Linked DNA regions of Cricetulus griseus. The protein of the gene in region 3 binds, or shares a complex with, the protein of the main gene of each other region. Links are inferred from orthologs where the notes say so. Each region holds a gene or a part of one and is shown on either strand. Other genes may lie near its edges. The genes, in order: Kat14, Kansl3, Wdr5, Ogt, Sgf29, Phf20 and KAT8 regulatory NSL complex subunit 1.

The links.
Region 1: Wdr5 (region 3) and Kat14 share a complex: the UniProt entries of both Homo sapiens proteins name them as parts of the ADA2A-containing complex. The link is inferred for Cricetulus griseus from reciprocal best matches to the Homo sapiens genes WDR5 and KAT14.
Region 2: Wdr5 (region 3) and Kansl3 share a complex: the UniProt entries of both Homo sapiens proteins name them as parts of the NSL complex. The link is inferred for Cricetulus griseus from reciprocal best matches to the Homo sapiens genes WDR5 and KANSL3.
Region 4: Wdr5 (region 3) and Ogt share a complex: the UniProt entries of both Homo sapiens proteins name them as parts of the NSL complex. The link is inferred for Cricetulus griseus from reciprocal best matches to the Homo sapiens genes WDR5 and OGT.
Region 5: Wdr5 (region 3) and Sgf29 share a complex: the UniProt entries of both Homo sapiens proteins name them as parts of the ADA2A-containing complex. The link is inferred for Cricetulus griseus from reciprocal best matches to the Homo sapiens genes WDR5 and SGF29.
Region 6: Wdr5 (region 3) and Phf20 share a complex: the UniProt entries of both Homo sapiens proteins name them as parts of the NSL complex. The link is inferred for Cricetulus griseus from reciprocal best matches to the Homo sapiens genes WDR5 and PHF20.
Region 7: Wdr5 (region 3) and KAT8 regulatory NSL complex subunit 1 share a complex: the UniProt entries of both Homo sapiens proteins name them as parts of the NSL complex. The link is inferred for Cricetulus griseus from reciprocal best matches to the Homo sapiens genes WDR5 and KANSL1.

The regions. Positions count from the first base shown.
Region 1 is NC_048599.1:34,612,822-34,616,321, forward strand, and holds part of Kat14 (cysteine-rich protein 2-binding protein), read right to left. Parts: intron 1,962-3,500; coding exon 1,545-1,961; intron 964-1,544; coding exon 398-963; intron 1-397. UniProt on the Homo sapiens protein: Component of the ATAC complex, a complex with histone acetyltransferase activity on histones H3 and H4. May function as a scaffold for the ATAC complex to promote ATAC complex stability. Has also weak histone acetyltransferase activity toward histone H4.
Region 2 is NW_023276807.1:11,828,258-11,832,303, reverse strand, and holds the start of Kansl3 (KAT8 regulatory NSL complex subunit 3), read right to left. Parts: upstream 2,801-4,046; 5' UTR 2,724-2,800; intron 2,390-2,723; exon of another isoform or gene 2,254-2,389; intron 1,457-2,253; 5' UTR 1,406-1,456; coding exon 1,191-1,405; exon of another isoform or gene 1,172-1,190; intron 761-1,171; exon of another isoform or gene 692-760; intron 1-691. UniProt on the Homo sapiens protein: Non-catalytic component of the NSL histone acetyltransferase complex, a multiprotein complex that mediates histone H4 acetylation at 'Lys-5'- and 'Lys-8' (H4K5ac and H4K8ac) at transcription start sites and promotes transcription initiation.
Region 3 is NC_048599.1:139,190,716-139,194,772, forward strand, and holds the start of Wdr5 (WD repeat-containing protein 5), read left to right. Parts: upstream 1-1,257; 5' UTR 1,258-1,408; intron 1,409-4,057.
Region 4 is NC_048604.1:68,640,124-68,644,268, forward strand, and holds the start of Ogt (UDP-N-acetylglucosamine--peptide N-acetylglucosaminyltransferase 110 kDa subunit), read right to left. Parts: upstream 2,801-4,145; 5' UTR 2,580-2,800; coding exon 2,543-2,579; intron 1-2,542. UniProt on the Homo sapiens protein: Catalyzes the transfer of a single N-acetylglucosamine from UDP-GlcNAc to a serine or threonine residue in cytoplasmic and nuclear proteins resulting in their modification with a beta-linked N-acetylglucosamine (O-GlcNAc).
Region 5 is NC_048596.1:74,084,154-74,087,653, forward strand, and holds part of Sgf29 (SAGA-associated factor 29), read right to left. Parts: intron 1,657-3,500; coding exon 1,581-1,656; intron 658-1,580; coding exon 585-657; intron 1-584. UniProt on the Homo sapiens protein: Chromatin reader component of some histone acetyltransferase (HAT) SAGA-type complexes like the TFTC-HAT, ATAC or STAGA complexes.
Region 6 is NC_048599.1:23,292,060-23,295,559, reverse strand, and holds part of Phf20 (PHD finger protein 20), read left to right. Parts: intron 1-1,966; coding exon 1,967-2,109; 3' UTR 2,110-3,500. UniProt on the Homo sapiens protein: Methyllysine-binding protein, component of the MOF histone acetyltransferase protein complex.
Region 7 is NC_048600.1:117,451,448-117,454,947, forward strand, and holds part of KAT8 regulatory NSL complex subunit 1, read right to left. Parts: intron 2,082-3,500; 5' UTR 2,037-2,081; intron 790-2,036; 5' UTR 707-789; coding exon 1-706. UniProt on the Homo sapiens protein: Non-catalytic component of the NSL histone acetyltransferase complex, a multiprotein complex that mediates histone H4 acetylation at 'Lys-5'- and 'Lys-8' (H4K5ac and H4K8ac) at transcription start sites and promotes transcription initiation.

The DNA.
Region 1 (3,500 bases), about 100 Mb from region 3:
GAGCACGTGTGGAATTCACCCTGTGAGTAATGCTGACCCCATAGTTCTTCATAGTTAAGCCCTAAGTACACAGATAGTTACATACCACAGCTCCAGCTCATTACGGTCTAGGATAGATACTACATGTCTTCAAATCTGTCAATCAAAACCATGAAACAGACTACATATAGCTACCCTCAAGAGAGAGACAAGAAATGTCTAGGCTATTTCTTGGATGCCGGGTAAGAAAGAAACTCAGATATAGGAAGGGGCATTAAATGAAAAGCAATGTTGGAACAAGAAGCCCAGCAAGTTTTGCATTGCTTTCTTCTCAAATTACTCATGATATCAAATGCCACAGTTTACAGTAGCCATTGCCAGGTGCTGCCTACCCCACTTCTCTTCCACCCCACATCACCTGGTACCGGTCAAGGATCCTGAAGTCCTGGCAGGTGGTCCGGTATGTAGCTTGTCCAGCCGGAAGCCGGGAAGCTCCTCCGTCTTTGGCTCCATAAATCCCATCGACTAACAGAAGTGCAGCGTTCACAACCTCATCCAAGTCAAAAAGTGGTAAACCCCTATCCCTCTTAGCTTGCCTGATGATCAGTTTCCGCTTTAGCCTCCGGGCTTCCGGAGTCATGGCCACAGCACTGGGGCACGCTTCCAGCCTCTTAAGCAGCAGCTTCTCCTCATAGATGCTCACAGGAGCATACCTGGGCCCCTTGGGCTTCACATCCTTCTCCAGGGGTGGCTTCCTCTTTTCTCTAGCCCTAGTGTGCAAAGAAGTGTTTGAATCTGTGTCTTCGCTATCTCCATCCATCCTGTCTGGCTTCTCCTCATCACTGTCCTCCTCCTGTTTTATCTGTTCGGGAGCTCTGACCTTCTTCCTGCTCCCAACCAGCCCAGAAGCTGCTGACCCAGCTGGGGGTGGGATGTACTCCATCCCTGGGTCTATAACTCCGTCTCCTTCCAGCTCATCATCATCTGTGCAAAGTAGAAAGTACTGTTGTCAAGATACAGGAAAGCAAGGCACAAGGCTTTATAGTGATATATTATTTATGATTTATTAAAGCTTGCCTGAGGATTCAGAAAAGCAAAGTCAGCCACAAGCCATAAAAGCCAGGCGCACACCTTTATTCCCAGCAGCCAGAAGTGGAGGTTGTAGTACACACCTTTAATCCTACGACTCAGGATTAAGAGGCAGACAGATCTACGTGAGTCCAAAGCCACCCAGATCTACACAAGAGTGAATCAGTCTAAAGAGAACTATAGCTCACACCTATAATCCCAACAACAGGCAAGTATATAAGACAGAAGCAAGGTCTAAGTGAGATATTCATTCTTCAGTCATATTGTGAAGAGGCAGCAGTTTGAGACTTGGTGAAGAGCTCATGCTTGAATCAGCCCTTTCAGCCTGAGCTAGAGATGAGAGCTAGTGGCCAGCTGCTTTGCTTCTCTGATATTCAGCTTGAAGTTTGAACCCAAATATCAGTCTGTGGGTCTTTTATTTATTTGTGTTAAAAGGCTCACTCACCCACAAGGTGAAAAACACAAGTAAGTCATACCATGAAACAAGGCTTGGGGTGGCATCACATCTGGGATGAGGTCTGCTTCAGAAAGCAAGCTAGGCGTGGCTGAATGCGAGGCTGGTGTGCCCGGGGCAGAGAAATCCAGAGAGGGGGAAGGAGATGGGCTTGTGAGCGGGGTTCGGTCTGAGGAGCTAAGGGATGAAAAGTCAATTACTTCCCCTTTCTCCAGAACCATATCTGGCCTCCGGGCTCGGCTTATGAACTTGACAGGGGTAGAAGAGGTGCTCCTGTCAAGGAGGCCAGCCGCTTCCTTCTGTGCTCTTCTGATGTCTTTTGCTTCCTGTGTTCGGGAACGCTTCTCTTTCAATTCCATGGCAGATTCCACAGGGTTCCGGCTTGCCCGTTTCCTGAGTCCCTCCACAGTGATGATGGGATCCAGCGTTGGTTTTGAGGCTGCCAGAAAAGAATGAACATCTAATTTCTATGTTAACTGTTCTTTTTAAAAATGTATTTTATTTCTGTGTACATGTATGTATTTCTGGACATTTATGTACAGGTGAAAGAAGGCACCAGATTCTTTGGAGCTGGATCCAGGTGGTTGTAAGCCACCTGGATGTGGATACTGGGAACTGAACTCCAGCCTTCTACAAAAGTCTCAAGTGCTCCTAATGGCAGAACCATCTCTCCATCCCTTAACTATATTTTTAATGTTAACTATTTCTTTCATAATTTACTATTGGCACCATGTTCAATACACAGAAATGTTCAATGAATACCCCAACCAAAAACCTTGCTTCACTTTCGGAAAAAGTTTTGGCTCGGTATGATAGTGCATACTTATTATCTCAGTAGTAGAAGGATGAGAATCTCAAGTTCAAAGCCAGCCAGAGGTAAATATTGAGTTAACGCCAGCCTATATAGCAAGAACTTGCTTAGACAAAAGCTACAACGCAAATTTAAACAAATTAACACCATCAATTCTATCTTTCACATACTAGAATTGGTAAAATTTCATAATGATCACCAAGAATATGGTTTGCCTTCCTGACTTTTTTGTAGAACATAAATTTTTACATTTGGAGGGTAATTTGGCATTACCACAGACATTTTTACCTAAATAAACCCTTTGCTCCACCAACAGTATTTTCAGTAATTTATCATACTATGTATATATATGAAAATTTGTAGCACTGTTTAAAATACTGACAAAAAAAGGGAAAAGCTGAGTATAATGGTTCATGCCTATTCAGAGTATTTAGAAGGTACACCCAGGAGGGTCAGAATTCAAGGCCAGCTTAGGCTACATGAGATTGCCTCGGGTGCTAGTTGAGTACCTAGCAGCAGACTCTGCCTCAAAGAACCCAGGCTTCTACTGAGGCTGACCACCAGAGCTCCATCCTGAGGTGACTCCTACAAGTCGCTCTCTGACCTCCACAGGTGTATGTGGCACGCCTCCTCCCTACACACACAAATTTATTTTAAAAATAGGCTGGTCGGTGGTGGCGCACGCCTTTAATCCCAGCACTCACTAGGCAGAGGCAGGCGGATCTCTGTGAGTTCGAGGCCAGTCTGGTCTACAAAGTGAGTTCCAGGACAGCCTCTAAAGCCACAGAGAAACCCTGTCTCAACCCCGCCCCCCACAAAAGAAAATAAATAAAATAAAAATAAAAGCTCAGGCATGGTGGCACAACTGTAATCTCAGAACTGAAGAGGTGGAGTCAGGAGTATCATGAGTTCAAGACCAGACTTGGCTACATGAAACCTTATCTCAAACCAACCAACAAACCACACAATAACAACAACAAAGGAAGAAACAGCCAAAATGTCCATGACAGGTATGCTGGCTAGTTTTATGTCAACTTGACACAAGCTAATGTCAATGGAGAGGAGAGAGGATCAGTAAGATCAAGCTATAGGATGGCCTGTAGGATATTTTCTTAATTAGTAATTGATTTGGGAAGGCCTAGGCCATTGTGGGTGGTTCCACTCCTA
Region 2 (4,046 bases), on a different chromosome or scaffold from region 3:
TTCAAACAAACCACTCTTCTAAGCCATACCTATGGCTGCAATCCTAAAGCTTGGGAGGCAGAAACAGGAAGATCAAGAATAAGCTACCACCCTAAGCTACACAGCAAGTCCCAGGTTAGCCAGGGATACAGAGTAAATACCCTGCCCCAAAAGAAAATACACAAACTCATCAAGGCAGCATATACCTATTATCCTAGCTCCTGAGAGGTGCAGGCAAGAAGATCAAGAGTTAAAAATCATCTTTAGCTGTACTACTGTTTGGGGAGGGGAAGGGACTGGTGTGTATGTGTGTAAACAAACCCAATTTCAAAAATACAACAAACCAATAAAAACATCCAACATTCTACACTTGCTTAAAAACACATAATGGTCCCTCTAACTCATCAATACTCAAAGGGGTGTGTGTGTGTGTGTGTGTGTGTGTGTAGAGAGAGAGAACCCACTACCCCTACAAAAAAAAAAAAAAAAAAAAAACTGTGCTTGAGAAAAGATTAAACATTAAGTCAAAACAAAAAAAAAAAAAAAAAACAAACACAAAATCTCTTATCCAAACATTTGTAATGACCAGTCTAGAGCATTTCAACAAATCCGGAAATGGGTGAAATCAGAAGGTTCAAAATAATTGACTAATTAGTTAGGTCAGATGTAACCAAATCACTTATCAGATAGTAAAGTTTTGAAATTTTCTTACCCTCTAACGTAAGGTGGCTGGAAATATAATGAGACTTAGGAGGGTTTAGATTAACCCACAGGTGGCTTTCTGTAAGGAGGTAAGAATGAAAGCAATGTTTTGGGAACTCCCTCCGAATCTGTGATTTGTGCACTGAAGCCAGGGAAAGGGAATGATATATTGTAGCCACTGTCAAGCAAATCAGATGCTGCAGTAAAGTGACAAGGAAATTCTTCAGTTTTCTCTTTCCACACAAGCTCTATTACACTTATCTAAGTGGACTAGGCTGTGTTTTCATTTGGATATCTTGCTTTTCTAATTCCCATCTGCAGATGTCTGTGAAGATGTCCACACTTGCCCTGATATGCTTAGGCTGCTCAACCAAGTTCTCCAGTCACCCCCGAACCCCAATCACTCCCAAGAACACTTCTCTAATCCCCACCATATGATCACTGCCAAGGTTAGGCAGAAGTAGCCCTTAAGAAGGAAACCCAAACTCACATGGTATTCTCAAACTCACATAGTATTCTCCTGCTGCCGACGGGGAGTTACAAAGAGCATGCGGGTGGGGCGGGCACTACTGGCATCTGGGTGGGCACTCCATGGTTTAGCATAGCTATGATCCAAAAAAACGAGGTCCAGCTCCCGCTCATGCACTGAAAGTTGGAAGAGCAGGGAGGTACCCATCCGCCGAGCTGAAGTCTGGAAGTCCCTCTCCCCACCCCGGTGGGCCATGTCAGTAGTCTGGCAGACAAGTCAGGGTGTGAGTATCTGCATACTAGTCACCTGCAGTGAAAAGTGGTCAATTCAATATTTTCAATCTCTCCCAATGTAAACTATCAAAATACGCTTTTATGCCTATCAGTCTTATCATCGATTATGCCCTTTCACACAGAAGTGAGTTCCCACACCACTACAAAAAAGGTGCCGGTGTGATGGGGCAAGTCATTCTGTGTATCTTATTGGTTCCGGTGCTGTACAAAATCCACAATTACGTAACTATAAACTGACTCCACAGTTACAAAGACCTTTCGTCCACAACTGGGAAGGCACAGGCAGACAGATCCCCATGAATTCGAGGACGGCCTGATTTATACAGTGAGTTCCTGCCGAGAGAGAGAGAGAGAGAGAGAGAGAGAGAGAGAGAGAGAGAGAGAGAGAGAGAGAGAGAGAGAGAGAGAGGGAGGGGGGAGGAAAGAGACATGAGAGGGAGAGAGAGGGAGAGAGAGGGAGAGGGAGAGGGAGAGACGGGGGGGGGGGGGGGGGGGGGGGGAGAGCAAAACAAAAAATAAAGACCTAAATCTGCTATGCAATTTCCTTCTTGGGTGGTAAAGGTTTTTTTTTTTTTTCTTTTGCAAACAAGAAGAATCACAAGCATGAATTCTTTCAAAAGCTAAGGGGTCCCTACTTTCCATCCCCTTAGGGCTTGGGCAGGGCCTGTGGGCTCGGGCAACTCCTGGAACAACAGCCTGGCACCGCGGGCGTCCAGGAAGCAGCCTGCTGCCCAGGGCTCCAGGTTTCACCGCTTTGGGCTGAGATTAAGGGTAGTCTCCTAGGGTCACGTTCCAAAGTTTTGCACCGACCTCACGTTACAGCGGAGTTTTGAACAGATAAAAAACGAGAGCCCGCCCTCAGCCCGTGCCGGGACGGGCCCTCGGGAGGCCTTTCTTCCTCCGCCCTCCCACGGCGAGGCGCCCGGCAAACTGCCCGCTCCTCAGGGAGGATCTCGCCACGGAGCCGCAAAACCTCAAAACGGCCCACCCGGGCGGCACGGCGACGGCGCTGGCTCGGGGGCCTAAGCGACTTGGCCAAGGTCATCCCGAGTTCGTGACGAGGAGGAGCCGCCCGGCCCCGCCTCCCGGGGCCCTTCTCGGCCCCGCGCCTCAGCCGCCCCAGCGCCGTCTCGGCCTCCGCGCGCCCGGGCCGCCCCGGGCCCGCGGCTCCAGTCCCGGCCCCCCGCATGCCCGCGAAGCCCGAGGGCCTCGCAGAACCGCCGCCCGCCGCCTCGAACCCCACGGGCCGCCACCCGCGCCGGGCCAGGCCCGCGTCTCACCAGCAGTCGCCGGCCGCGCGCTCGCCCGAGCCGGATCCTAGCGCGCGTGCGCTTTACCGCCTCCGCGCCGGGCACGGTGGGCTCTGACGAAAGCGCGGAAATGGATCGCTGCCTGGGGACCGCGCGGCGGCGAGCGGCAAAGCCCGGAACGGATCCGCTCCCGCGACTTCGCTGCCCAGTGGGTAGCGCAGGAGGGGCACACAATTCCCAGGCGGAGACGTCCTGTCCTCCCTCTGTGTTTTCTGCAGGAAAAGTGAGGGCAAAGAGCAAGATAGTTGCCGGGTGGTGGTGGCGCACGCCTGTAATCCCAGCACATGGGAGGCAAAGGCAGGCGGATCTCAGTGAGTTCGAGGCCAGCCTGGTGTATACAGAGTGAGTGCCAGGACTGTTACACAGAGAAACCCTGTCTCGAAGGAAATAAAAAAGAACAAGGTATTTGCCACAACCCAAGTACTCTGTGTCCCCACCTTTGTCCCTTTGCCAAGAGCTGGGTTCCATTTGCAGTAGGAGAGTGGGGGTTACCTTCAGTCCAGCCACGTGATGTATCCTTATAACCCCAGCACGCAGGAGGCTGAGACAGGAGGATCACGGTGAATTCCCGGACGACCTGAGCTAAAACGTGATACCCTGTCTCAACACTTCAAAACAAACTGGAGAGAGGGGAAGAGGAAAATCTTTGCAGCGTGTTGGAACCAACACTAGAGCTCTGCAGAGTTTAAGGAATAAAGGGAAGTTGGCAGAGTTCAGACTGGGATGAGATAGAGGTGGAATGTTAGGCTCAACATCTAACTGCCTGGTTCAACAGATCACAGCAGGCAAGGCTTCAGCCTTTTCTCATCTCTAAATGCACAAATACTTAGCCCTGCCTCTCCAGGATGCCAGGGGAATGCAATGGGCCACCTGTCAAGACCTCGAATTGACTTCTTGATGGCAATTACCATGAGCTACCCCACCTTTATGCTTTCGAACTCAGCATCTTTGACTGCTTACTTACTTATTCATTTATGGGGCGAGTGGTAAGACAGGGTCCCATGTATCTCAGGCTCAGCTCAACCTAGCAGTAGAGGCAGGGATGACCTTGAATTTTTGATCCTTCTGCTTCTCTGCCTTTCAAGTGCTGGCATTTCAAGCCTGCATCACCATGCCTAATAGAACACAGTGGGGTTGCTTTTTTGTTTTATTTTTGTTTGTTTGTTGCTTATTTGTGGGGTGTTTTTGGTTTTTGTTTTTTGGTTTGTTTTTCAAGACAGGATTTCTCTGTGTGTAGCCCTGGAACTAGCTTTGTAGACCAGGCTTGCCTCGAACTCACATATTTCTGTCTGC
Region 3 (4,057 bases):
ACACTCTGCTCCATTCAGGGCTCCGAACATAGGGATCAGGTTTGTTAGGCACACAGTATCACATCGGCTGTTTCTGTGTCCTCTTTGGAAGGGGATTCTGGGCCAGTTGCCAGTCTTCTCTCACTCCTATAGCTATGGGAACCACACACATTCTCAGCTCCAAAGGCTCACTTCCTTTGCACAGGTTCCTATGCTATATTTGATACTCCCACACTGGGAGATAAGAGGCCGCCACCATCTCCAAGATTCTAAGACCATGTGTGTTAGATAGTAAGATGAAGATGCAGCCTGTCTTCAGGTTGTCATTATGTCCTTGTGTCCTCTCTGGGTCTTTCCTCCATTAGTGACAGGAGTAGAGGTGGCCTACAGGAGAGGGGGCTGTGAATACTTTGCTTAATTCGGGCATCCTGCCTGTCTGGAGCTGTCTTGTGAAAATGAGAATTACGGTGAAAACAGAGACTTTAAAATGAGCCTCTGAGCCATACAGGAGCTGGATTGTAGTGGATACTGCGGTTGCCTGGAATGTGATCTCTGGGCACCCAAACTAAGGAGCAACTGAATGATGCAGTGGTTCCAGATGCATGCATAGCGAGAGGACCTAGAGCCCCTGTGTTAGGGACACTTGCCTTTCATCTTTCTTTTTTCCTTCCTTCCTTCCTTTTTTTTTTTTTTTTTTTTTTTTTTTCTTTCGAGACAGGGTTTGTGTGTAGCTTTGAAGCCTGTCCTGGAATTAGCTCTTGTAGACCAGGCTGCTCTCACAGAGATCCCAGATGCCTCTGCCTCCGAGTGCTGGCATTAAGGGCGTGCGCCACCACCGCCCGGCCTTGCGGCGATAGTTTCTAAGACCTTTTTCTGAGTATGGGGCTGCGTAGCACAGCCTCCTTGTCGCCTAGCTCAGAGGCGAGGCAAATGTGTCCAACTTGAGCTGTGGCTTGTAGCGGCAGGAAGCCCCCGCCCTGCGGTAGGCTGGGGAGGCCGCAGGAGCTCCGGACTTCCGGACCTCGTGGACCTCCACCAGTGGCACCGAGAGGGTTCCCAAGACCCCAGCGCAGTCACAGGCCAGGACGGCCAAGCTGTAATTATCAGCTTGGCGACACAGCATGGAACAACAGGAGAATCACAAAAGCACATTCCGTCCCATCCTTCACTGCAGACACCACGGGTCTGCAACCAATGGATCCCAGCTGTCAAGCAGGAAGCGAGAGCCGCCGGCGGCCCCTTTAAGGCACTCCTCCTCCTCTAATTTTTCTGACCCTCGTCGCCGCCCGTTGCCCCGCCCCCCGCGCACGCGCACTCCCGCCCGCGTACCGCGCCGCTGCCGCCTAGTTCAGGAGCTCGTCTGCTCTCGCGCGCAGAGCTAGCCGACGCGACGCCAGAGCGCCCGGCCCCGCCGCCGCGGCCCCGGCAGGTAAGAGAGTGAGCCGGCCCTTTGGGCGCGAGGCGGGCGGCGGCCACGAGGGATAGCGGGCTCCGGGATCCACAGCGCCGCACGTGTTCCATGGGCCTCAGGCCGGGCCCGGCGCCGCCTCTGGGGCCGCGCCCCGACCCCACCGCCCCTTGTGGTCGTCATGGCCCACTCCTCCCACGACAACCCCCACTGCGCCACTAGACCCTTAGTCGTGCGAGCTCCTCGAAGCACACCTCAGGCTGGTGTCCTTGGGGGTGGGATTCACGGTCTTTCACCCAGCCAGTATCTCCCAGGTTTCCTTGGCCACTTGGCGCCTCTCTTATGTTGCCAGTTGCCAGCACAACCTTCACCTGAGTTCCAGTGCAAATTTCTACCTGACGAGGCCTAACTCTAGTCAAGGGGGTTGTAAACACTGTCTGGGTCAGCACACAGTGGTGTGAAGCCAGGGCTACTAGGACCAAGGTACTAGAACCCAGAGAGAATGGGTTGTAGCTCTTTGTTGGGTTGGCCAGCTGCAATCACCTGAGTGAAACATTCTGTCTCTTCTACACTTGTGCACTCAGTGCCATCCAGGAATCTGCATTCGATTGGAGAGAGAGTAGTGACTGCTGCCCTTCCATGGCCAGGCTCACTGTAGTATAAAGCCCAAGCCACCTTCCGAGTATTCTGTTTAGCATACCTTCCTCTCAGAGCTGTCCTCCCCAATCCTGCTTTTCCGTAGGCTTAAAACTTGCACACCTAGATGCTCTGTCTAGGACTCTGCCCAGTGAAATTGGAAATCGGTGATTTCTTTTGAGACAGACTTATGTAGTTGCTGGCATCTCTTTTTAACTGCTTTGAACTCCTGAGCCTCCAGCCTCCGGAATGTTGTGAGGAAGACTGGCTAAAGTTGGTGGGATTTTTTTTTTTTTTCTTTCCTCAAGACAGGGTTTCTCTGTGTAGCCCTGGCTGTTCTGGACCTTGTTCTGTACATCAGGCTGATCTTGAACTCAGAGACTCCCAAATGTGGCCTAAAGCGTGGTGCTTTCATATGTTAATATTTGACATCTTGAAGAAAGACCCTGTCTGTCCACAGGGTATTGCGGGGTGGGGAGGGTGGTGGTGCACACTTGTTTGCAAAGTCATCCACCCACTGCTAGGTGAATCTCCTTATCTAAAAGAAGCTGTTTAGTTCCCAGAACCTTCCCACCCAAGAGACCTCCCCTACACTGTTGCCCTGTCCTTTTACTGGGGAGATTTGCTGGGCTTTGTGAAAGGGACTTTCAGCATCCTCAGCTCCTCCTGCTACCTGTATGGTCAGCAGAAGTGGTAGCTGTGAGAATCCATGATATGGCCAAATTTTCATTGAGAATAAGCTCCTGGCGTTGGTAGCACATGCCTTTAATCCCAGTACTCAGGAGACAGAGGCAGGCGGAACTCTGAGTTTGATACCAGTCTGGTCTACAAGAGCTAATTCCAGGACAGGCTTCAAAGCTACACAGAGAAACCCTGTCTCGGGGAAAAAAAAAAAAAAAGAATAAGCTCCTGGTCAGGCCTGGTGATTGATATATGCCTGTTACATCAACTGTACCCAGAAGCTGAAACAGGAGGCTTTTGAATACCAGGTACATAGCTAGACCCTGCTTCCAAAAAGCTAAAAACACCAAACAGCTGACATTTCCTGGGCACCAGAGCTTTGTTCCCTGGAGAACCTAGGGGATCTATCCTCCTCCAGTCCTTGCACCTGGGCTTGAGCTACAGCAAGCTATGACCGTGATGGAACGGGCTGCAGGTAAAACAGCTGGGCTGCACCTGTGCCCTTTGTGGTGGGCATTGTAACTGTTACTCCTCTAGGACTGAAGACTTTGAGACATGTTTTGTGTGTGTCCTTCATTTGCCTTAGTCTTTACATGGGGTCTGTGTGAGGTTTCAGGTTTAACCTCAAAGCTAGAATTTACATCATCATTCTTATATTGATGGCCGAGAAATCCATGACCAGTGACTGACATTTGCAAGTATGCCTTAGTAGTTCTCCTTTGAGGACTACTACTTCATTTCCAAGTCACATGGTGCGCTTTTGTGTGGTGCATCCAGGTGATGGACCTATTGCTGCAATGGAATTAACTGTTGCAGGTGTACACATTTCAGGCTGAGTGCTGACCAGAATAACTACTTTCCTCTGCACAGTAGCATGTATCTAGTTTGCAGTTCACTGCTGTTCTCGCTGCTCCTCCTGAGGAAACCTGTGGAGGCAGCGACCACTCTGGTTTACTCTTGTAGCTCTTTTGTAGTACTGTGGGCACTGAGTCCTTGAGCTCTGTGAGCTTATTCTAGAAGGCAGCTTTGTACCTGCAGCCTGTGAGATCATAGGGAGCAGCTGGTGAGGTGGTGGCCACTGGGTTCATAATGCCTGTGTTTTCATGATCAAATTCCTTGGGTGCATTTTAGGGTAAGCTCCCAAACTTCTGCACAGAAGGTCTACCTCCTGTCACTTGGCCTGTCAGTTTCTGTCAGAAAGCCTTTTTTTTTTTTTTTTCTTTCTTTGGTTTTTCGAGACAGGGTTTCTCTGTGGTTTTGGAGGCTATCCTGGAACTCTCTCTGGAGACCAGGCTGGTCTTGAACTCACAGAGATCCGCCTGCCTCTGCCTCCCGAGTGCTGGGATTAAAGGC
Region 4 (4,145 bases), on a different chromosome or scaffold from region 3:
TTCATCTCTTTAAATTCACTCATTACTAAAGCTTTCTTTTCTAAACCACAGCAATATTTACTTCCAAATGAGATTTGTCTTTTTAATTTTGTAGTTTTAAACTTTAAATCGTAGGTACAGTCACTTAACTAAGTTAGCACATTGTCACACAAAACATTAAACATGAAATCACAAAGATTTGTCAGAATAACCTAGTGCTAATAATACTTCATCCTACATTTCACGTTGGATTAGTAAAGGCTGGGGTATTCTAACACTTTCTCAGTGCAGGTGACTCCAGGTGTCTGAGAACTATACTGATGTTTGTGCGTTTTACAGCTTTATTTTTTTAGGAGCAACGATAAAAACAAGCCTAAGGAAAACAACTGAAGTCAGAGTGCTACTTTCACTTTTAAAGTAGCTGATAAACAAGACTAGTATCTGTCAAGGGCTAAAGCATTTAATACCTTCACCAAACATTTTAAACAAAGACCCAAATGTTCCTCGTCTACTGGCAAGGACTCACAAGGAGACCAAATTAGCTAAATCCCACCCACGCTGCCTTAGCGTTAACATTTTCCGCTGTGTTCCCGGCTCTCACGGAAGGATTAAGACGTTGAAAACAACCCTTTACATATCTACGCAATCTACCATTGCAATAGTTTAAAAACGCTACAATATAAAACACTGGGTAAAATATAACATAATAAATGACAAAAAATAATTTTATTCTGTGGAACTTGGTTTAGATACATAATGAAAAGCTGAAGCTCAGATACATGCCTAAGGCTCAGCTATAAACATTTCTCTCATCAGTGATACAAGTAGGAATTCTACCATAACACTCTCTAGATGGTTAGAATGGGAAACCACAGACCGAACATAATTTTACCAAGGTCGTGAGGACAAGCTCAAATTTAAGCCAAGCTCCCCCGTATCAGAGCTGATGAGTGCTCTGGATGCTCTAGAAAGCAATTTCCTGACAGAATGCACAGTTGACCACCACAGACACAAAGACCGGGAAGATTTGTGTCCAAATCTAAGGTCGGATCTTTAAGATCAACTAGAAAATTACATTTTAGAACAGAATGCAGCACTTTCTAGCTCCTAAATTTAGCATATTGCTTGTCGGCACTTTTCCAAGTCGGTTATCTGCTCTTTTAATACTGGAAAAGGCCATTTCCTCAAATAAAGTTAACAGTCAGAAAAGGGCAAGCGCTTACAAAATTCTAACGCGAAATCTTAAATCTTTGAAATTCACTGTGGGAAACGACCACTGCGGGGGTGGAACTAATTATTAATCCCACTGCCATCAATTATGGATGAGATACTATTGAAGATTCATCCATTTATCGCACAATGTCGCACAACTAAAACCTTGATACACCGCGACTGCGAAACAACAAAAAACAATATCCTCTCGGAAACCTTAGAACCGCAGCCGGGTTCCTCACTCCCTCCCTCCCCAAATAGCCTCAATCTGGAAAGGCAATTGAAGGACACTCCTACAATTTGGTTGTTTTCTTATTTTTAGTAACGAACGCTCAGGAATGAATTGTCGAAAAGGGGCAACAACTTTGCACTTGTGCAGCTACACTCCAGGTGCTTTACAAACTCTTCAAGCAAGGATGGAAACTTAAAAAAAAAATGCACACCCTATGAATAAAGAAATAACTGGGCTAAAGAATGGGGATGAAAACCCAGAGGCGGCGGCGGAGGAATACATTGAGAAAGTAACACAAAGAATTGGGCGGGCAAGGGTGGTCAACGCCAAGCAACGCACCGAGGTGGTTTCTTTCCCAATGATAGGAAACGACCGTCGGGCTGGCACACTTGCGGAGGAAGGGTGTGGTTGCCACGAGCGGGGAGGGCCGACAGGATGGGAAAGTCAGGACAGGGGCAGCGGGTGCACTTGGGCGATGGCTAAGAGAACCCCTGGAAATTTCCAACCTAAACCGAGGCCACTCAACCCAAGAAAACCAGGTGCCAGCCGGCGTCCAGGCTCAAGGTCCCTTCTTCTTGAGGTTACTTGGAAACACATCGACGAGCTTTTGCTAGTCTTTGCCTGATGCAAAGTGAGGCTAGGATTACATCAAAATAGCACCCCCGCCCCAGACTGGCAGAGGGGTACTAAATGTGGCCAAGGGGAAAAAGGCTTGGGTGGAGGGAAGTGGAAGTGCACTGGGGGGATCGACGAGCTGGAATTAGGGGAGAAAGGAGTTGCGATGGAGACAGAAAGAGCAGGGATTCCAATGCAGCCCATTCCAAGACATTCTAAGCGCGCACGTGTGCTAGACGCGTCCCGGGAGATGATGCTAGAACACTGATGGTATAAAATACCAACGAAAAAGCTCAAAAGCAAGCAAAATGCAAGCAAGCAACGAGGGATTGTTTACAGAACGGACGACAGCACCAAACCCTATCAGATGGCAATAGAACTCAAGAGAGTTCAGCAATGCCACTGATGTAATGGGGATGGTTAGAGGGAAGGGAGTGATGAGAGATACAAGACGGCGCCAGACCCCAAAGGGACGTCTGCCAAAGTAGAATGGGACACTGGTACCTGTGCTGTCGGCCACGTTGCCCACGGAAGACGCCATCTGGAGCTTCTTGATATAGAGCAAGAAGGGGGTAATTGACTTCTACTGCCGCCACTACTGGCAAGAATGTTTCTAGAGGTAGCAGAAAGGGGGCAGCAGCCGTATCAGTGTTTTGGAAGGCTTAAGGGGCGGCAGCAGATACTGAACTCGAATCTTGGGAACTCTACTTAGACATCTACCTCTCCCTGTCTTGAAATGGCGGCGACGGCTCCTCGACCGAAACAACACAGGCCGGAACTACTTTCTGTTACAATCAAGTACCCCGCGGAGGTAGCGCGTAACAAGACTACCGACAAATGACTGTAATCAAATCACTTGCTCTTACGTAACCTTCCGCCCAAGGTCCATTGCGACAAACACGGCTATAGAAAGCGCATGCGACAACTCTGTCAAGGCAACTCCGGGTTAAGGGCACCCTGTGGGGCAAGAGCTTCCAAGTTTTTAAGAGCCAGGCGGAAGGGCAAAAAACGCACGTCGATTACATTTTTTGGCAAGTGCTAAAGTAGAAGTCTACTACCCGGTCATTGATGTAGATGTTAACAGGAATGTCAGAGACGTCTAGAAAAGTTTCGTAAGATAATGGATAGTTTACATGGCTAGTGTGTCCGTTCTAAGCAAGTAAATGCGAAGAATTGTATTTCAAGAGACGGAACTGTTCAAAACGAAGGGGGAGCCGGTTCCGATTTGAATGCTTCTTGATTCGGACTCCACCCATGAATTTAAGTATTTTGATGTGAAGAATGATGCTTTCCCTTTGCTGCGTGAACCTAAACGTGTCCGATTTGAATCATATAGCCCGAAAATTCAAAATCGTTGTGGTATTCGGGAGAATAATGGTCTACAGTAACAAAATAAATGTTCAATTACTCAGGGACCTGCTGCGATTTCGCATGCCAAAAGCAACCATGGAAATGTTAAACATAATTCGTTTTCATCAAAATTTCTGATTCTGAGTTGTGACTTCGTTTAGCCAAACGGCTCTGCAAATTGTTAAGGTCCGCGAATGCCGTTGACCTTAAGGCAATTCAACAATGCTAAAATTCGCTACACATCTACGGTGAATCCCGTATTGCCTTCCTTTGACAAAACAGCGCTTAGGATCCTCCTGCGGTTTCAAATGCAGCTTTCCGACATTTTGTCATACTGTTATTAATTTATACCTCCTGCCTTGTTCCTGGAAAATTTTTAACATAACTTGTCACATCAGCAAGCAATTACTTCAAGCCACTAGAGGCTATAGTTAGGTCTCTTAGAGCCTTTTTGTTTCTGTTTTTTTTTTCTAAAAAAAAAAAACTCTTTGATCTAAGAAAAAATCAGTGAACTTGTGTAAAAATGTTTGTTTCCTAACCCCTTGGCGACATAAAAAATAAATAAATCCTCAAATGCTGCTTCAATTTCTTGGAATCACTGACCAAACTGTCAACTCTGGATATGAGTGCAAAGAAAGTTGATAATATTATTAATTTCTTTCGCCTCATAGAAACACAGCATGTAGTGATAAAGTTCGCTACACACACTCTCTTGGACACCCGCTTTATTTTTTCATTTGAGATACCTGGCAAGCCC
Region 5 (3,500 bases), on a different chromosome or scaffold from region 3:
TAGGGAGGCAAAGGCAGGACAATCTCTGTGAGTTGGAGGCCAGCCTGGTCTACATAGTGAATTCCAGAACAATAAGAGCTACATTATGGGACTCTGTTTCAAAAATAAAAAAATTAAGAAAGTACTTGGAATGGTACCAGGTAGTGCCAGGTAGTGGTCCTTGTTACCATTACAGGCTGCAATAGTCGGCATATTCCCATGGCAGGGGAGGGTCAGAACAGTTGATAGAATCTGTCATTCTCTCCACATAATCCCACTGTATGCTCACAATCCAGCAGGGAGTTATTACCCTGATTTTAATGACAAAGCAACGGGGTTTCAAGTGAATTGACTACCAGGTCATGTGACTAGGAAATGGTATGCAGGGACACAACACTGCTTTACTGTCATCTACAAGGCAATAAGATACAGGAGAGGAATGGATAAAGAAGGAAGAGCTTGGGAAGGTTCAAGCAATGGGAGAGGCAGAGTAGGAGGACCCTCTTCACAGACAGAAGGCAGCTGGGGCTGTGGCCTCGGGAATATGTGGTCCAGCACCAGACGTCAGGGAACAGAGCAGCAACAGCCCTGTGGGCATTACTCACTTGCACTCAGCCTCCGCATCAGCCTTGGCGGTTGTGTAGAGGCCACGCAACTTTGTCCGGTAATAAGGAGAAACTATAAACACAAGCATGAGGAGACATGAGCAAGAGGAGGTGGCAGCATGCAACCCTGATTCCAGGACATCAGAATCAGCTTGAAGAGGCTCAGAGGTCAAGGTCTGAGCTTTATCACTTCAAACATGCTCCCAGGAAGTTAGTAAGATGATTCTGTCTGTAAAATACTTGCCTTGAAAGTACCAGGAACCAAGCTCTATCACCAGAACCTAAGTAAAAAAAAAAAAAAGCCAGGCATCCCAGATGTGTAGCATTTGCTTTAATCTCGGCACTTGCAGAGGCAGGTGGATATCTATAAACTGAAAGCCAGCCTGGCCCACACAGAGTTCTAGGACAGTCAGGGTTATCCAGCGAATGAATGGTGAGAAACAAAACATGAGGTTGGCCTTTGCACACATACACATGTGCATACACATATCCCAACATACATTAAAAAAAAAAGTGTTCCCTGTTCAACAGGGCCACATTTCCATATGGTAAAGACGCCACCACCATTCTTAAAAATTGCTTTCTAACCTGCCTCCTGTCCACATCATTACCAAGGAGAAGCAAGTACTGTCCAAAGCTATTCTGAGTTAGAAAGCCCCAGGCACAGGGGGTGACCTGCCTTGGGGCATATGCAGAGGCCATGGGGGAACTCTGCTCCCGAAAAGCCCCATGCCTATGAGCTCTAAGGTAAGGGTGAGTTTTCCTGCTTCAAGGCTGCCTTTCCAGTCCGAGCTGAGAGACTCTGAGGTCCTTTAGTGCAAGGCCAACTGTCTTTAGTCCTGTCACTTTAAGTCATTCAGACAAAGGAACAATGACCCTAAAGAGCAACTTTGGGATATGCAGATACAAGCAAAACTCCCTTTGAAGACACAGTAAGGCCATGCTCCTGGCCTCAGCCATTCCCACTTCCTTTCTCTTCTGCCCTCAGGTACTCACTCTTGTTCTCAGTCTGCATTCGCTCGTGGGTTTTCTGGATGTTCACCAAGTTGTGCTCACTCCTCGAGCGTTCTTCCTAGAAAGATAAGGTCAAGAGACCATGAAGTAGACCATTTACCCTAACAAAAGCTCCCTGTTTACATGAAGACCTCCTCTGTGTAATTCTGTCCTGTGGGTTTTGACAGACGCTTCGGTTACATACCTATCATTACAGTATCATACACAAGAGTCCTACCTCCCCAGACATCCTCCCTGCTCCTCTAACTCTTGCATCCATCCCAACTATCCCAAGGCTCTGCCAATGACATCATTTTACTTTTACTTTCTCTAGTTTCTCCTTTCTGGAGTTTGTCACACAGTTGGAATGAAGCATATATGTAACCCACTGGGATCTTTCATTAAGCAAATATTCGCTAGTATTTTACAATTATTTTTCAGGGTATACCAACTAGTATGTCCCAGAGAGGAATTCCTGGGAATTGCTCCCTACTGGTTCACTAGACCATGTGGTCCAGCAGAACCACCAGTGTGTAACTGACTATAAATATCAATAAGCCAGACGTGGTGGCACACACCTTTAATACCAACACTCAGGAGGCAGATAGGTCTCTAAGAGTTCTTGGCCACCCTGGTTTACATAGCAAGTTCCAGGTCAACCAGAGCTACATAGAGAGACCCTGCCTCAAAAAAGCAAAACAACACACACACACACACACACACACTTCAATGAGCAAATGCTTGGAACGGTAATAATGGACAAAACAGAGCAATGGCATGCTCAACATGCCACACGGCATGCTACAGGCACAAACACATATCATGCTTTATTTGTGAATGAAAGAAAAGCTATTTTAATATATAGGAGGAAATGAGATTTAGACCATTGGCTGCTATTCCAGCGGACCCAGGTTCTAGTCCTAGCACCCATGTGGCAGCTCACAACTGTCTATAACTAGAGCTTCAGGGGGTCTGACAACCCCTTCTGGCCTCTAGAGGCACCAAGTATGCATGTAGTGAACAAACATACATGTAGGCACTCACCCATAATCATAAAATAAAATTAGTCTGGAAAAAAAAGTAGAGGCATCACCTGGCAGATTCAATTCCTTGGTACTACATGCAGGACAAATAAACATACATGTGACTATCACCTTTTAGTCCTAGAATGAGGCACTGTACTTGTTCTGGTTTGACACTTTACTATTCCTATGCTATCAGTATACATCTGCAACATGAGTGGCAGAGTAAACACTGACCCACAGACAGAGAGGGCTTTGGTGATGCCTATGCCTTGTGGGACAAGACAAATTCATGATGAATGAGGAGCTGCATTCAGAGGGAAAGTATTTGTTAATTAGAATAAGAAGATCAACGTGAGTTCTCTTACAGGAAAAAGGCCAATGGAAGTCAATCTAGAAATAGTGAGGGCCTCTAGAGTCAGGCAGGACCAGCAAAAATGCTAAAACCATCCATCATGGGGAAAGAAAGGCCTTAAACACTGACCCAACAGAGCAGAGCTATTTTGAACAGACAGAGGCCAGAGAAGGCAAAAGACAAAGGCCTTCCACCCTCAATGCTATAGCCCATAGGTACACTTATGGTACTCTTGTGGACCTCCAGGGTACCTGTAATACAGTGATGCATCATGACTACACCTGGACCAGTAACAGAGAAACCTAAGCTACATCCTGAAGCAATGTCAATACCAATAAGAATTATTCTAAACACCACCTGCGTCTGTCTCAAGGGAAGGTGGTAGACTTTAGTATGTAGTGCCAAGGACTGAGGCAAGGTGACTGGGTTTGTTTTCAACTGAGCTGCAGCCCAGAAATAGGCAGCCACAGGCCAGGGTAGTAATCTGGGCAGCAGGGGATTAACAGGGTTAACTCAGCAGGCTGGGTTATCTAAACCCCACACATT
Region 6 (3,500 bases), about 120 Mb from region 3:
GCGCACGCCTTTAATCCCAGCACTCGGGAGGCAGAGGCAGGCGGATCTCTGTGAGTTCAAGACCAGCCTGGTCTACAAGAGCTAGTTCTAGGACAGCCTCCAAAGCCACAGGGAAACCCTGTCTCGAAAAACCAAAAAAAAAAAAAAAAGTTTTTTTGTTGTTGTTTTTTTTTTTTTTTTCTTTCAAGGCTGGCCAGAACTGGCTCAGTGGTTAAGAGGGACCTGGGTTCAATAACCAGCACTCACATGGAAGTTCACAACTGTCTGTAAGTCCAGTTCCAGGGGATCTGGCACCATCACGCAGACATATGTGCAGGCAGAACACCAGAGCATAAAATAGAAATAAATCTTTAAAAAGAGTTTTTTTCAAATTCGCATGTATGTGTGTTGGTTGTATGGGCACAGCTTTATACCACAGCATGGTTGTGGAGGTCAGAAGACAGCCTTGGGTGTCAGTCCTCATTGTCCACTTTGAGGCAGGGTCTCTTGCTCACCACATGAGCCAGGCTTGCTGGCCTACAAGCTTCAGGGGAGTCCCTTGTCCCTCTTGTTTCTGCCTCTCATTTCTCTGTAGATTCTTTTGATTTCATTTGTGCTGCCACATCTGACTTTATGTAAATTCTGATTATCCAAACTGGTTCTTAAGCTTTCGTGAAGCTTGTTATCTGCTGAGCCATTTCACCAGCCTAGGAAACTATCTTGTGCTTTTAAAACACAAACAAACAAAACAACTTTTTTGGGGGGTGGGTAGGATCTCAGTGTGTATCCCTACCTGTCCTGGAACTGGCTCTGTAGCCGAGGCTGGCCTCAAATTCAGAGTTCCACCTACCTCAACCTCCTAAGTGCAGGGATTAAAGTTGTGTGCCACTATCACCTGACCAGATAAATTGTTGAGTCAGGGTCTCTCTGTGTGGGCTAGGCTTGTCTCTGCATCCTGAGTGCTGGGATTAAAGGTGTACACCACTACTGCCCCACTACACTAATTTCTTAAAGAGAGAGAATAAGTGTATTTTGTGCTGATAACTACATATCAAGTATTAACATGAAGCAAGTCAGAATTGACAGTGATTTAAAAAAAAAAAAAGTCCCTGTAGATGCTTCGTTTTTCTGGCAGGACAGCCTGCCCTGTTTACATGGGAAAGCTTTAAAAAGACAGATAACTCAGAGTAGTCTTCAGAACCTTCTGGACTCTGCTCTGGCACAACAGCCGCTAGCATTGTGTGGCTAGTTAACATAATTAAAAGTGAATGCAGCTGGGCTCTGGCTCTCACCTTTAATCCCAGCACACAGGAGACAGAAGCATGTGAATCTCTTTGAGTTTGAGGTCAGCTTGGGCTACAGAATGAGTTGAGTTCTAGGATAGCCACACAGAGAAAACATGAAAAAAAGTGAATACAATTCAGGTGCACTCCTTAGTTTCACTCACCCTACTGTAAGAGCTCAGCAGCTGTATCTGATTTGACTGGTGGTCACTGCATTGGGGAACATAGATATAGATCATTCCTTCTATCACTAATTAGGGCTTCAGGCCTGCACTGTGGGGAGGCATCGATGTAACCAAATACCTGACAAAAGCACATTGAGTAGCTTATCATTTCAGAGAGTCCAGTCCAAAGCTACTTGGTCTAGTCCTGGCAGTGAGAGCCTGTCGTGGAGGCATCTGGCTATGTCTTGGCAGACAGGGATGATAGAGGAAGGGATGCAGGCATAATTGTCAAAGGCATACCCCTAGTGACCTACTTTCTCTCCAAATAGCATCACCAGCTAGGGTCCAACCATCCACCACACAAGCCTATGCTTACCATGCAAACCCTAACATTAGAGCTTTGTGCCCTGGAGCAATGCTTTGTGGGGCGCTAATATTGGGGCAGCCTGGGTTGAAATGGCCTTGTGGCCTTGTGGCCTTGTAGGTTTTTGTAAGTCAAGTTCTAAGCACTCAAGGGTCTTCTCTCTCTTCTACCTGCAGTACTGGAGAGCTGGCTGGACTACACTGGGGAACTGGAGCCCCCAGAGCCACTGGCCAGGCTTCCACAGCTCAAGCATTGCATCAAGCAGCTGCTGACTGACCTAGGCAAGGTGCAGCAGATTGCCCTCTGCTGCTCGACATGAGATTGGGCGCCCAGGACAATTGGAGCACAGTCCTGGCATGACCGCCAGGGGGAGCTTCGAATATTTAAATAAATAAACTTAGCATGCTGAATGCACGTGACACTGACTGACTTCAGGGATTTGGCCAGGAGTGTGATGGACACTGGGACAAAGAGACCATTTTGGCTGCTGGAGGACGGGGCACTCTTGATCTGGAAGCCAACTACGAAGGCAGCGCATAGTCTTAGAACCCTCTTCTGTGCACATCGTTGAACGAAGCGAGTCTTTGCACATCTTCACTTGGAATCGTGCCACTGGTGATAAATGGAATGAGAGCCAAAAAAAAAAAAAAAAAAAAAAATCTAGTTGGAAACAGTTGTAAATTCAAATTGCAGTTTATTGAATTGACTTTTGGGTCAGGTTGAGGCATATACCAACCCCTCTGGTTTCTCTGCCTGGTGTGGTGTATGGCAGCAGGCACTGTTTGTTTTCATCTTTCAGCTTCACTGGAATATTGGGACTTGACTGTGCCATGCAGTTTGGGAAGGAGAAGCACGGCCTTGACGGCACTGCCTCCTCAAGACTTCATTTTCTTGCCACGTCTCTTGCATGATTTCACGGTACGGGGGACAAGGTTTTATGCTGTTTTTCAGCCCACAGTAGGCTGGGCCATGGCTTTGGCAGCCAAGCCGAAACTGCCGAAGGAGAACTAGAATCTTGCTGCGATTCGAATCTACAAGGAGTCCCAGAAGGAAGCAGGCAGGGTCTGGAACCCAACGGACAGCATTTTCTACACATGTATTAATTCCAACAACTTCCCACTTCTGTTTAAAGTTTAAAAAAGTTTCCCAAGATTTTGAACTATTACTGTAAAGATTTGTTACAAAGAATGTGGGAATTACCTTATTTTATATTGTCGTCAGCAACTTGAGATTCTGTGTGCCACTCTCCTCCTCTTTGGAGGCTAGTGTGGTAGCTGGCATTTTCAGAGCTGCTGATGCACTTTAACACTTTCAATTTCCTGTTTGTATTACTTGTGAGATCAAGGTGATTATGCTGCTTAAGGTCCAGGTACAACCTGTTTGTACGTTCAGAGAAAATATTTGTGTTATTTTGTAGGTTCTGGTTCCATGTGTAATTGCTATATTGTTTTGTTTTACCTTACTAGGCAAAGTTTAAAAGGTTCCATGCTTTGAGGACTTGATTTAACCAGTTTTTGCATCACTAAAGGCAAATATCAAAGTACCTTTATCCATCAACACCCCCAGGTTCATCATGAGTTTTGGAATCTGTAATGCTTTAGGCAGCAAATATTTACTATGTAAACATCAAGGAGCCAATGTCAGTAGCTAGAATAGCAGCATCTCCAGCTGCCTCAGGAACTGTTCAGCTTCAGGCGTAACAGGTCATTG
Region 7 (3,500 bases), on a different chromosome or scaffold from region 3:
AATTAACAGAAGATTTGTTTGCAGCGCTATTATTGCTATATAGAGTTGTGTGTTCTATATCAAGGCTTCTATGTGGAAGAGTGCAATTGGTCATACCCCCCTTCAAGTTCCCAGAGTCAGATCCCCCCACTTCACCTCCCTGCAGAGCAGATGAAGTGAGAGACCGTTTTCCCCCATTGAGGGAACTGGAATTGTCATGATCCGAATGTGTTGAACTTTTAGTCAATTTCTTAGCCAACCCATTTACAGGCGCTTGTGGCAGAGCTGTCTGACCACTTGTATTCATGGTTCTAAGGTTTTCTAAGGAAAACTCCAAAACTGGCTGTCTCCCCAACAGCTCAGCTCGGAGTTCATAGGACTGAGATAAAAGAGGATGAGATTTAAGGACTGTCTGCTTGCTGAAAACCCCTTGTAATTTCAAAGACTCTTTTGCGGGAACAGATGTTACATCAGAGCAGAGATAAGATGCCACCAATGGTTGCAGCTTTCCCAGGTCTTCCTTGGTAGGATTATTTCGGAAGTCTAGACCGGAATCCTCTGCAGCAATGGCTTTTCTTTTGGTTCCGTTGGCAGAAATAAGGATATTGGCGCTGCCGTTATTTTCGGCACTGCCAGGGGACAAGGTGGAGGATGGGGGAGCCAGTTTGAACCGGATGTGGTGTGCTTCAGCTGCTGCGTCAGTGAGAGCGGGCGCCATCGCAGCCATTCAGCACAGAGAGACAGGAAGTCCAGCCTCTTCCAGTGCTGAGGCCAGCTCCACGGCCCCTTACTGCCTCCCCTGAGAACAAACTGAAAGAGATAGAGAGAAAGGAAGTCAGAAATACAAGTGAATTCAAAAACAACACACATTTTCAATAGAAGCACCACTTGAGGCTATTGTCCAAACTCTGCCTCCAAATAAAGAAAATTAACTAAGGAACCATTCTACAGCCTTCAGATGTCTTTCACCTAGGGGAAAGAGAGGAACACAATGCTTTCACAAGAAAATAATTTTACCCTTCGTGTCACTTGTTAACCACAAGCTGAATATTGTCAAAATAGAAGTCCCATTCTGAAATAATCACAAATGGTTACAATTACCTGCACTTAAAACCTCTTTGCCAGGTGGTGGTGGCACATGTCTTTATTCCCAGCACTCTGGAGGCAGAGGCAGGAGGATCTAGGTTTGAGGTCAGCCTGATCTACAGAATGAGTTCCAGGAAAGCCAGAACCACAAAGAGAAACCCTATCTTGAAAAACCAAGGGGGGGAGGGGGCTCTTTAAATGTTAAATTACTAGATTTAATATGACCATATAAGAGGAATATCCAGTAATAGAAAAACATGTTATTCTCATTAAAAGGTTTATGCCAAAATCTCATGGATTTGTGTTACTTTTCTGGCCAGGAATCCAGTTCTCATTAGCTCATTCCTTACAAATTTAGATTGTTACTACCAGGCTAACTACATCACACTGTAACATCAATTTGCTTCATTAATTTTCTTCTTTCATATAGCACATAGTGTCTTTTCTACTGGGCTATTTTTCAGAGTAAATCTGTGTCTTTAAATTAATAGCCCAACATAACTTTCTCCCCCTTCCCCCAAAACACTTCAAAGGAATAGCTACAGTTACCTTACTATTCACTCCTCTAGAACTTAGTTTCCATTCCTATCACACTCCAGGAAAATTAACCAGTAATATTATTATCCAGTTATTATTAAATCTACAGTCCTATTCTGACTTTCCCATAAGTATTAAGTAATATGGACTTTCTTGAAATATTCTTTCCTGATATTCTTGGCATTATAATTCTATTCTATTCTTCCTTTCAAACCTCCTAAAATGTTGGTACCACCCAAGATCCCTTCCTTCTGCCTTCTCTCTCATTTCCTTAGCAACAACTACTAGTAAGAGGACCACTAACTCTCAGAAAAAAATTCTGAGCTGCACTAATTAACTTTCTAATCTGATCATCCTTGGAAACTCAGAACTCTCTTTCTTCTTTCAATAAACCTTTTCCTTTCTCACCCTGCCTCATTTTCTTAATGACATACCTCAATTAACTGCTGCTTCTTCATTCCTGATTCATCTATCTGGGTCTGGAAGCAAAGGGAAATCTATATAAAGGACTGTTTCAACTATCCCTAAAAGCCCAATCTCTGTACCTCTAGGGATCTTAATACATACCCCCCCCCACACACACACTACTGCTGCTGCTATGTGTGTACACTTGTACTTCCAGGCAAACATATGCCTACAGTGTGAGTGTGGCCAGAGAACTTCAGTAATATTAAAACATCATTTGCTTTTTTTAAAAAAAAATGTTTATTGGAGGCTAGAGAGAGGACTCAGCAGTTAAGAGTAATGTCTGCTCTTCCAGAGGACCAGGGTTCAATTCCCAGCATTCACATGGCAGCTCACAACGTAACTCCAGCTCCAGGAGTTTTGACACCTTCACACAGACATACAGGCAAAATATTAATGCACATAATAATAAAATTGTTAAAAAAAAAACAAAAAAAATATTTTTGTGTGGGGGTTGTGGATTCCACAGTACAGCTGTGTAAGTCAGAGGGCAATGTGAAGGATCTGGTTCTCTCGTTGGAACCTAGGAATGGAACTCAGGCCATTAAGTGCCTTAGGTCCACTGAGCCATCTCTGCTGGCCCTGCCTTTTACAAACTGTTAACATTTGCAATGTGGGTCCAAAAACAGAGATAAGCAAAACTGCTGGTACATACCAAGACAATAGCACCAAACAATGAAAGTAGTCAAAGTATTCCTCACTTGCAGCTTAAAAAAAATGCCAATTACATTTAGGATGTTCTTGGGCCTGTTAGATAGCCCAGCAAGTAAAGATGCCTGCCATCAAACCTGAACATCTGGGTTTAACCAATTCCTTCAAGTTGTCCTGATTTCCACACATGTACTACAGCATGAGTCTACATACAGTCACAAAATTAACTATTAGTTTATTTTTAAAAGATGTTCTTGATGACACAAGTAAACATTATGGATTTTGCTAATTTTAAAACTTTTGAATTTCCCAGATAATTACATCATCTATCCCTCCCGCTCCTCTCTCCAAACCCTCTCATATATCCCTCCTTGGTCTTCTTTAATTGTCTGTGTTGAAAGGAATGAGTACAAAAATTCAGCTTCATGAAGTCTCAGAAAAAATTATCACATTTAAAAATGTTTGTTTGTGAATATTTTGTCTGCATGTGTATCAGTGCTGTGACTGGTGCCTGAGGAATTCACAAGAGGGCATTGGTTCCTCTAGAACTGAAGTTTAAGACGGTAGTGAACCACTATATGAGCACTGGAAATAGAATCCCAGTCCTCTGGAAGAGTAATCAGTGCTCTCAACCACCAACCCACCCCTCCAGTCCCCGAACTATTAAGTTGCCAAGCTAAGCCAGCCTTCTTGGAATGCCATCTTTTTATAAAGATTCATTTTTATGTATGAATGTTTTCCTCCATATAGGCATGTATATGTGTATGTGCACCTCATGCATG